3 linked regions of the Macaca mulatta genome follow. The protein of the gene in region 3 binds, or shares a complex with, the protein of the main gene of each other region. Links are inferred from orthologs where the notes say so. Each region holds a gene or a part of one and is shown on either strand. Other genes may lie near its edges.

Evidence for each region.
Region 1: USH1C (region 3) and ANKS4B share a complex: the UniProt entries of both Homo sapiens proteins name them as parts of the IMAC/intermicrovillar adhesion complex. The link is inferred for Macaca mulatta from reciprocal best matches to the Homo sapiens genes USH1C and ANKS4B.
Region 2: the proteins of USH1C (region 3) and MYO7A are in contact, whole or in part, in a crystal structure (PDB 5MV9), measured with the Homo sapiens proteins. The link is inferred for Macaca mulatta from reciprocal best matches to the Homo sapiens genes USH1C and MYO7A. Residues at the interface, in NP_001284693.1 of Homo sapiens: Glu450, Pro456, Ile457, Val461, Val462, Ser463, Tyr466, Glu467, Lys479, Gly480, Pro522, Tyr526, Asp527, Asp528, Glu529, Leu530, Thr531, Phe532, Phe533; in NP_000251.3 of Homo sapiens: Phe1946, Val1953, Ala1976, Lys1995, Lys1996, Trp1998, Gln2017, Pro2020, Lys2021, Arg2024, Tyr2026, Ser2112, Ala2113, Phe2114, Phe2115, Glu2116, Val2117, Lys2118, Ile2128, Ser2161, Gly2163, Asn2164, Thr2165, Tyr2166, His2168, Leu2181, Glu2183, Thr2184, Ser2185, Leu2186.

What each region holds. Positions count from the first base shown.
Region 1 is NC_133425.1:21,174,056-21,177,461, forward strand, and holds the end of ANKS4B (ankyrin repeat and SAM domain-containing protein 4B), read left to right. Parts: coding exon 1-296; 3' UTR 297-2,892; downstream 2,893-3,406. UniProt on the Homo sapiens protein: As part of the intermicrovillar adhesion complex/IMAC plays a role in epithelial brush border differentiation, controlling microvilli organization and length. Plays a role in assembly of the complex.
Region 2 is NC_133419.1:77,624,911-77,627,246, reverse strand, and holds part of MYO7A (unconventional myosin-VIIa), read right to left. Parts: coding exon 2,294-2,336; intron 1,843-2,293; coding exon 1,726-1,842; exon of another isoform or gene 1,614-1,725; intron 719-1,613; coding exon 635-718; intron 1-634. UniProt on the Homo sapiens protein: Myosins are actin-based motor molecules with ATPase activity. Unconventional myosins serve in intracellular movements. Their highly divergent tails bind to membranous compartments, which are then moved relative to actin filaments.
Region 3 is NC_133419.1:47,967,869-47,971,071, reverse strand, and holds part of USH1C (harmonin), read right to left. Parts: intron 1,963-3,203; coding exon 1,853-1,962; intron 498-1,852; coding exon 442-497; intron 1-441. UniProt on the Homo sapiens protein: Anchoring/scaffolding protein that is a part of the functional network formed by USH1C, USH1G, CDH23 and MYO7A that mediates mechanotransduction in cochlear hair cells. Required for normal development and maintenance of cochlear hair cell bundles.

The sequences.
Region 1 (3,406 bases), on a different chromosome or scaffold from region 3:
AAGAGGAAAACAGCCTCAAAGATGATCTACCATGGGGTGAGGATGAAGTGGAGTGGGAGGAAGATGTGGTCGATGCCACGCCCCTGGAAGTGTTCTTGCTGTCTCAGCACCTGGAAGAATTCCTGCCTATCTTTAAGAGAGAGCAGATTGATCTAGAAGCTCTGCTGCTCTGCTCTGATGAGGACCTTCAGAGCATACAAATGCAGCTGGGTCCCAGGAAGAAAGTTCTGAATGCTATAAACAGGAGGAAGCAGGTGCTACAACAGCCTGGGCAGCTGGTCGACACCAGCCTGTGATGGAGGGTTTTGGCCTGGAGCATTGGGGTGATGCTGTGGTCTGCTGGCAGCACTCCAGGCAGCACCCCCTCTTTACCCAATGCCAGATCACTGGGAATGGATTCTAGGGCATCGGAGATGCCTACTTGAGAGAGAGGCCCAAACTTTACTCTGGGAGGCCCATCCAAATAAATCTCCATGAGAAACTTGAGGAGACTTCATAACAAGAAAATGGCATTTCTCTTCAGTTATCTTATGTGTGTGTGTGTGTGTGTGTGTGTGTGTGTGTGTGTATTTTTTTTTTTTTTTTTTTTTTTTGGAGATGAGGGTCTCACTCTCTTACCCAGGCTGGGTTGCAGTGGTATGATCATAGTCCACTGTATTCTCAACCTCCTGGGCTCAAGTGATTTCCTCCCACCTCAGCCTTTCAAGTAGCTGGGACTACAGGTGCACACACCCACACCTGGCTTATTTTGTATGTTTCAGTAGAGGTGGGGTCTTACCACGTTGCCCAGCCTGGTCTCAAACTCCTGACCTCAAGCAGTCCTCCCACCTCAGCCTCCTAAAGCATTGGGATTGCAGGTGTGAACCACTGTACCCAGCCTATCTTTTTCATACTTTTGAATAAAGAAAGGGTCATATGCGTGACAGGAAAATGAAAGAAACTTCCTTTACTTTTCTATCTCTGGATTTAAAATTATAATCTCATGTCATTATCCTGCTGCTTGCTTTCTGATCCATATAACCTGGGAATTCTAATTCTTTTTCTCTCCTGAGCTCTATGACTTTGCCTGGTGGTAGAGACTAAAGTTCTTTCCTGGCCTGAGGCTTGATGCCCAACTTAAATGCATCTAACCCTTTAACAAATGTGTACATGTTTACAAGTAATGGAAATGCATCTATAATACTCCTGCCTGAGAATAGAGACAGAGTGGCAGTGGGGAGAGTGAAGAAAGAAATAGAATACAGAGGGTACTTGTTGTTGACTGACTTGTGTCAAATTCATATGTTGGCACTCTAACCCCTAATGTGACTGTATTTGGAAATAAGGCCTTTAAAGAAGTGATTAAGGTTAAATGAAGTCATAAGAATGGGACCCTAATCCTATAGGACTAGCGTCCTTTTTTCCTTTTTTTTTTTTTTTTTTTTTTGAGATGGAGCCTTGCTCTGTCACCCATGCTGGAGTACAGTGGCATGATCTCAGCTCACTACAACCTCTGCCTCCCAGGTTCAAGCAATTTTCATGCCTTAGCCTCCTGAGTAGCTGGGATTACAGGTATGTACCACCACGCCTGGCTAATTTTTTGTATTTTTAGTAGAGACAGGGTTTCACCATGTTGGCCAGGCTGGTCTTGAACTCCTGACCTCGGGTGATCCACCTGCCTTGGCCTCTCAGAGCGCTGGGATTACAGGCGTGAGCCACGGCACCCAGCCTAGGACTGGTGTCCTAAGAAGAGGAAGAGACACCTAGGTAGAAGGGACACAGTGAGGCCACGTGAGAATGCAGTGAGAAGGCAGCCGTCTGCAAGCTGAGGAGAGGGGCCTCAGGAGAAACTAACCCTGCCAACACCTTGATCTTGGACTTCCAGCCTCCAAAGGTGTGAAAAAATAAACTTCTGTTGATAAACTTCTGTTGTTGAAGCCACCCAGTCTGTGGCATTTTGTTACGGCATTCCTAGCAGAATAATACAGTCCTAAGTAAGAGGGGTGGGGGAGGAGACCAAGAAAAACACAGAAAAAAAGTCTGGCCAACTGCAACTAATGAGTTTTTTAAAGGTAAACACCTACTGAAACTTAAGGAAAAAAAAAAAAAAAACTAAGTTCTTTGGAGGGAAGATTTGATCGTAAAAGGAAATTTCACATTTTCATACTTATTATGTACACATGGTTTATTTACTGTTGTCTGTCACCATTGCTGCATATCCGAATACCTGTAGGTTCCATGATAGAAACTGACAACACTTGGCTCACTCCTGTAATTCCAGCACTTTGGGAGGCCCAGGCAGGCAGATCACTTGAGGTCAGGAGTTCAAGACCAGCCTTGCCAAAATGGCGGAAACCTATCTCTACTAAAAATACAAAAATTAGCCGGGCCTGGTGGCATGTGTCTGTAATCCCAGCTACTCCAGAGGCTGAGGCAAGAGAATCGCTTGAACCCAAGAGGTGGAGGTTGCAGTGAGTTGAGATCACACCACTGCACTCCAGCCTGGGCGACAAGAGTGAGACTCCATCTCAAAAAAAAAAAAAAAAAAAAAAAAAAAGAAGAAAGAAACGAACAACACTGCTGCTGACATTTTTTCAGTGGCAATCCCAAATTCAAACTGAAACCCCACTGAATAGCTAAGCTTCATTAGATCTCCACAGCCTGACTTACATCAAGTGGAATTTACTGTTGCTTCTGGATATAATACAGATACAGCTGTTTATCTTCAGTTTGCTTTCTGATGCACATCTGTTTGGGTTACTTCAAGAAGCATCATGGAGGATTCAAGTTTAGGGGAGGATACAGATGCTCAAATCTGATGAACAATTGGCTTATTCTTCCTTAATGAATATATTCAGAAAGCTTGTTAGCCATTGAATAAATATGTTGCATTAGGGGATGATTGTTTACAAATACCATATCTTGTGGAATAAACTGAAGTTGTGCTTGCCTTCATTAATGTGCACAGAAGCAGTTGGCAAATAGAAAGCGCTCAGAAAAGTTTGTAGTCTGAGCCTGCCACTATTATATTTCATCATCACAGATGCCAGAATCCCCGCTTCACCTATTGTCTGGAATCTGCCTAATGAGATACTTGCTCCCCGTCCTGCCCTAACTACATCATAGCAAGAGAGCCATCACTCAGGTTAGTAGAAATGAACTTGAACATTGACTCTCATCCCTTTTTAGGAGATGTTTGTCCCTAAGGGTCTCATCAGGTACCTTTATGCTCTTCTTGGGGGTTCTTTTCTTTTATGATTGACAGAATTAATAGGTGAGGGTTCTCCAAAGGTCTCAGCATCAGGGATGTAGTCTCTCCATCACAGAGTATTGTTATATAATAAAAAAGGTTTATACCATGTTATAAGAGGTTATCAATGTTCTAAGAATTCCAGATCTTTCAAACTAAATACCAACTACAGGGGAC
Region 2 (2,336 bases), about 30 Mb from region 3:
GAGGCTGTTGGGTAGGGGTAGTTGGGGCCAGAACTGGGAAATTGGGAGGCCTAAGGCAACTGACACTGTGGCCTGAATGAGATGGCCCAGGGAGAGTTTGAGGAGGGAGTCAAGAAGAAGACAGGGCAGAGCCTTGGGGAACACAGCGTACAGGAGCAGGCACAAAAGGGTCCAGGAAGGAATGACCAAAACACAGAGGAGAGCCAGGAATGTGTGACGCATGAAGCCAATGGACAGATGGTGGTCACGAGCCCTCTTCACTACCTGTCCAGTCAGACCCTCTGGGTGTGCAGTCGGGCTGCTCTGGCCCAGAAACACAGATGCACAGTCACCCCTGCACAGCCGGCCCCACAATCCACATGGGCAGAGCATCCAGTGATACTGAAAGGCCAAGTACTAAAAGGAGCTCAGATTCCATAGGAAGGAGTTTGTTAGTAACTTCAGGAGAGCAATTTTTGTGGAGCAAATGTTGGGTAAAGTCCCAGCAAACGCTGACAGCTTTTGAAGTCGCATGATGGGTGGATGAGTCTGGAGATAGATGATGGCTAGGAGGGCTTGCGGGGTTTGTTCCGGGACTGTGTCTGAGGTTCAGGCAGAGAAGGCCACCCCCACTTGCCTTCTTATCCCTGCTCACCTTTGTTCTGGGATCGATGAGGCTGACCCCATACTTGTTGATGGCAATTAGAAGGATCTCAGGGAAGTTTGGCTCTGTAGTTTGCTAGAAAAAAAGATGAGAAGGCATCAGATGGGGGCCCAGAGCAAGAAAAGCGTTTGGGGAAAGGAATGAAACCTGGCCCCGGCTGGGATAAAGTCAGCCTCTCCTGTTGCCTATGTGGTGCTGACGGCCCTGCCATGACCTCATGGCCTCCACCTTCGCTGGGCCTCAGTGCTGCCCCACATCCCTTCATGGGTCCCCCAGGCCATCCTTTGCTTTGTCCTCCCTCTCAGCCCAAGGGCATCTCATCTTTAAAAAGCCTCCTGAACCCTGCATCTGCCTCCAGCTACTTACCTGTTCTCGCACAGCCGAGCTTCTCAAAAGGCCTCCGATCCTAGCTGTGTGACAAGACCACATCTGTCCTCTCACACCAGCCTCCTCACCATACTCCTGCCTCTGTTGTGCCCCTCAGACCCCTCCTCCACCCACAGCCTGAGAGGCTTTCTGGCCATGTCACCTGGGTTGAAAACCCTCCAAGGCAGGCACCGCTGCAGGAAACCCAGCCTCTCACCTGCTTGGCAAGCTGCTGCTCTCTACAGCCTGCTCTTGCCTCCTGCCCTCACTACTTGCATTTCCTTCCCAGACCTGAGTTCTCACGCCTCCAGGCCTTTGTCTATGCGGGACCCCTGCCAGGAGCACTCTTTCCAGGGTCTCCCTGGAAAGCTCAGATATCACCTCCTCTAGGAGGCCTCCTCAGACCCGGCAGAACCTCCCGAGCTCCGCCACCTGGGCGAGGGCTCCCCACTGTCAGAGCATAGGCCGTCCTCCATTACCCCGGCCTGTTTACACGCCTGCCTCCACTGCCAGGCTGAGCTTTTGGTCCCTCTGTCCCCAGGACTTAGCCCAGCTAAGACGCTGAGCTGGGACAAGGCTGAGGGTACTGCCCTCCTTCCCTCACCAGGGCAGGTGTCCAAGGCCATGGCTGTTTCCCACAGTCCTGGGGAGGAGTCTCTGTGCCTTCTCAATGCCCTGTTCCCCTCCTCCTCTGTTCTGAGAAGCCCATGGTGTACCTTCACCTCGAAGAAGGCTGAGCCAAATGTGGGCCACTTGAAGATGAGCTTCAGGAAGGCCAGCTTGGCCTCCTCCTTGGACTTCCCTGCGTGCTTGTTGAAGTAGGCGACGATGGACTATGGGGACAGGGGGGTCAGGGCTGGGCTCAGTCCTGGGGACAAGCCTGCTCAGGGCAGGCCTGCTCAGAGCTCAGAGTCCTCCCCACACCACCCCTGCCCACTCCAGCCCCATCCTGGAGTGCTGTGAAGGGCTCTCCCCATATTGCAGCTAATGGACTCCCGACCTCCCTTCTCACCCCCAGGCAGGCAGACCAAAGGGTATCAAGGACAAGCAGGTCACCATGGTAACCAGGACAGGGCAAATGACTGCCAATTGGCCACTGAGTGCTTGGCATGGAAGACTGAAGGATAAGGCAGGCAGAGGAACAAGGGTGGGCGGCCTCATCGAGTACAGGAACCACAAGACACACCTCCCTGGGCTGCTGGCCAGCGTCTGCCCCCTTGGCCCCTGGGGTGCCCAGAGGCCCATTCAGGGCCCCACCATTCCTGCTGCCCACCCCATGCTCACCCGCTTCCAGTCATCAGGCGAGACCTGTCGGATAAGGTCCTGG
Region 3 (3,203 bases):
AAGCCTGTGGCCCTGGCTGCCTAGAGGCACAGTATGAGTGAATGCAGTTAGACATCAGGAAGACCTTCCAGAGAGTGAAGGATGAACACAGACACCTTCTAACCATCTACTAATGGGGTAGGGGATAGAGTTCTGAGTGGGGAATAACAATCCTGAGTCTTTGTCCCAACATCACTACTTATTCGGTCTAAGACCTCACGCCTCAGTTCCCCAGAGTAGAGAAGAATTTGGACAAGACTGCCCGGGAGGCAGCTCAGACACTGCTTAAGGACAATGACTAAGCTCTAGTCCAGGAGTTTTCTAGGAGCTCTGGCTATGAGAAGCTGTGTGCTTGGGCCATTCCTTCAGGCTGGGAGAAGGCTGGGGGTGGGCTGGAGAAAGGTGGCTGAGATTCTGGAAAAGGAAGAGGAGGTTTCAGGCTAGGTGGCTGCACATACTTACAGCTCATCATCATACTCCTTTGGGGGGCAGACGGCAACCACAAGGTCGATCCAGTCCTGTGGGGAGAAGCTGTGTGACTCTGGGGCACACTCAGTTGGATGGTGTGTCTGCTCTGGCACTCCGTCCCCATTTCTGGGCCCCATGGTCCAGGATCAGCCAGCCTGCACCTTCTTCCCATGGGCACACGTGGGCCCCACTGTGGACTGCCATGGTCTGAGGATGTTTCTAGTCTCTGAGGCTTCGGGACTATAGAGGCCAGGGCTGCAAGGTGCTCGAATGACACTCAGCTCCCAAATGTCGATCTATGGACCGGGGACAGGCAGCAACCTCAGAATCACTTGGGGGAACTTCTTAAAAGTGTAGACTTACAGACTTGGCCCCTAGAAGTCAGGGGTGAGTCCTGGGAAATAGTACTTTTAACAACCTCTCTAGGTAATTCCGATGCACTTTCTGATGCACAACCAAGTGGGGGACTTCTGGACCAGCTTTTTGATTCTAACACCTGAATCCCTTTTACTGCCATCCTTGCCCCTCATTCCCTCCTTGGCTTGGATGTATCCCCTGAAAAGTATCAGAAATATTACTGGGCCCCTCTACCATGAGCTAGTTCCTAATATTGAGCTGAAATCTCTCTCTCTCCCCCTCAGGACTTCCCTCCATCCAATCCAGGTCTTCCCTCAAGAATCAGAGAGAACACTTATGCTCCCTCTGCCCTAATGCAGACCTTCAGATAATCAAAGATAGTCATCATGTTACCCGTGAGTCTTCTCTTCTCCACATCCCTTCCTGTGGGTCCCAGGACCATCTGGTTAGCTTCCTCAGCACTGAACTTAATACCTCAGGCTCGGCTGCCTGCATACAGTTGCACAGGTTTTGCATTGCACAACGTGAGCAGGCACCATTCACACTACAGTCTGTAAAAGGGCACCCCCTCAGGCTGTGCAGGCTGTGCAGTGCACAGCCTGGGCAACCTTATGCAGTGGCTCTGACCCAGGTGGGTGTCTAATGATCGCAGAGCAGATTCCCACCAGCCCCTCCTTCATCCTGGGTTCTCTGCTTTTGTTAATGCTTTCTGGTAGCCCCCAGAATTCTCTTGATTCTTGTTCAGTGTGCACTTAGAAAATACCTTAAGTGTTTTTCTTGGGTGACCTGTCATGCCCTGGCTTCTGGAGTCTGTTTGAGCCACTGGCTTTTTGGTTCCAAGGTCAGGAATTGACATTTATTTTTCTGAATCCCATCTTGTCAGATTTAAACCACTGGCTGGATGGGGTATGTGGGTGTCACCAAAGTGTTGCCTGGACCCCAGATGCCTGCCCTGGGATGCGGCACCTGATTGTGAGGCCTGGCTGCAGAGCCCAGGGTTTGAGGCAGGCAGGTGAGGGAGGAAAGGACGGAGGGGGCTTATTCTTACCCCACCCTGATTCCAGGCCTTCTGCAGGGCAGCCTCAGCCTCCGCCAGGGTGTAGTCTGTCACAGTCTTGCCGTTGACTGCCATGATCTCGTCCCCTTTCACAATGCCACCTGCAGGCAGATGAGGCTGATTGGCCAACAGGGCTGTATGTGACGCATGCCTGGCCCAGGGCTAGGCAAAGAGGGGTCATTGCCGGACCGCAGAAGAGACCTGAACCTGGGTTCTGAAAGGTCATGTGGACTCAGAAAGCATGAGGGGAAACTAGCTACCTGCTTAGTGGCTAGTCAAAGTGCATTTCATCCCTATCCCATCTACATCCCCTTACCCAAGCTCTGGAGAACCGGGACATCATTGATGATGAGCCTCTGTTACCACAGAGGGAGACAGACCTGCATTTCCAGCACAGTAAGAGGCCTGAGTCAATTCTGCCAGCCGGCCCTCCCCGTTGCCCAGTCACGCTGGCCTCTTCAGGTCCCTGAGCTGCCACTGCTGTCTCCTGCGGCAGAGACTTCATGTCGCTGTTCCCCACCTTGCTTTCTCTTCTTCTAGGTCTGAGAGGAAATGTCAGAAGGGGCTTCTCTGACCCCCACTCAGTCAAATGTAGATCTTGCCTGTTCTCTCATAGCATCCCAGTCTTTTCTTATTTGGCATTTTCCACAATTTGTAATCATTAATCTGTTTGTTTACTTGTTTACTGATGGTCTCTCCCACCATGCTGTCAGCTCCATGTGGGCAGGGATTGTCTTTCTGGTTCACCATAGTATCCCCAGCACTTAACATAATGCCCGACACAAAATAGGACCTCAGTAGATACTTGCTGAATGAATGAATGCTGTAATAAGGTGCTCCTGGAAGAGATGCCTGGGATCTAATACTTTTGGGGAAAGCTGAGTTATAAGCTGAACAGAGCTACCCACTGCAGGATTTGTCAGTCTTTAATGTGCTAACATGCACTGCGGCTTTCCAACAGGTAGACAGATTGTGTGTCGTTTTCCACACCTCTTCGACATCAGAGCCCTTTTTGGAGGAATTTCTCCCGGTCCTGATGTCCACAGAACATTCTCCAGGTCACATTGAAATAGATCATCCAGGAGACTTGTGGGCATGAAGGCCCACAGGAATGTGGTGTATGATACTGACAATGGCGGCCATGGAGGCTTAAAACACATGCTCCTAGGAAAGTCATCAGTGACTGGTTATGTTCAAAGCGGTGCAAGACCAAACCATAGAAAGCAGTTGCCTCTGTGCAGGGCAAGTGGGGATGGGTGACTTTCACCTTTTCATTTTGTACAAATCCAAGACAGAGTCTCAGGGGTAATAAGGCAGTGGTTGGGTTGGGGCTTTGTAAGTG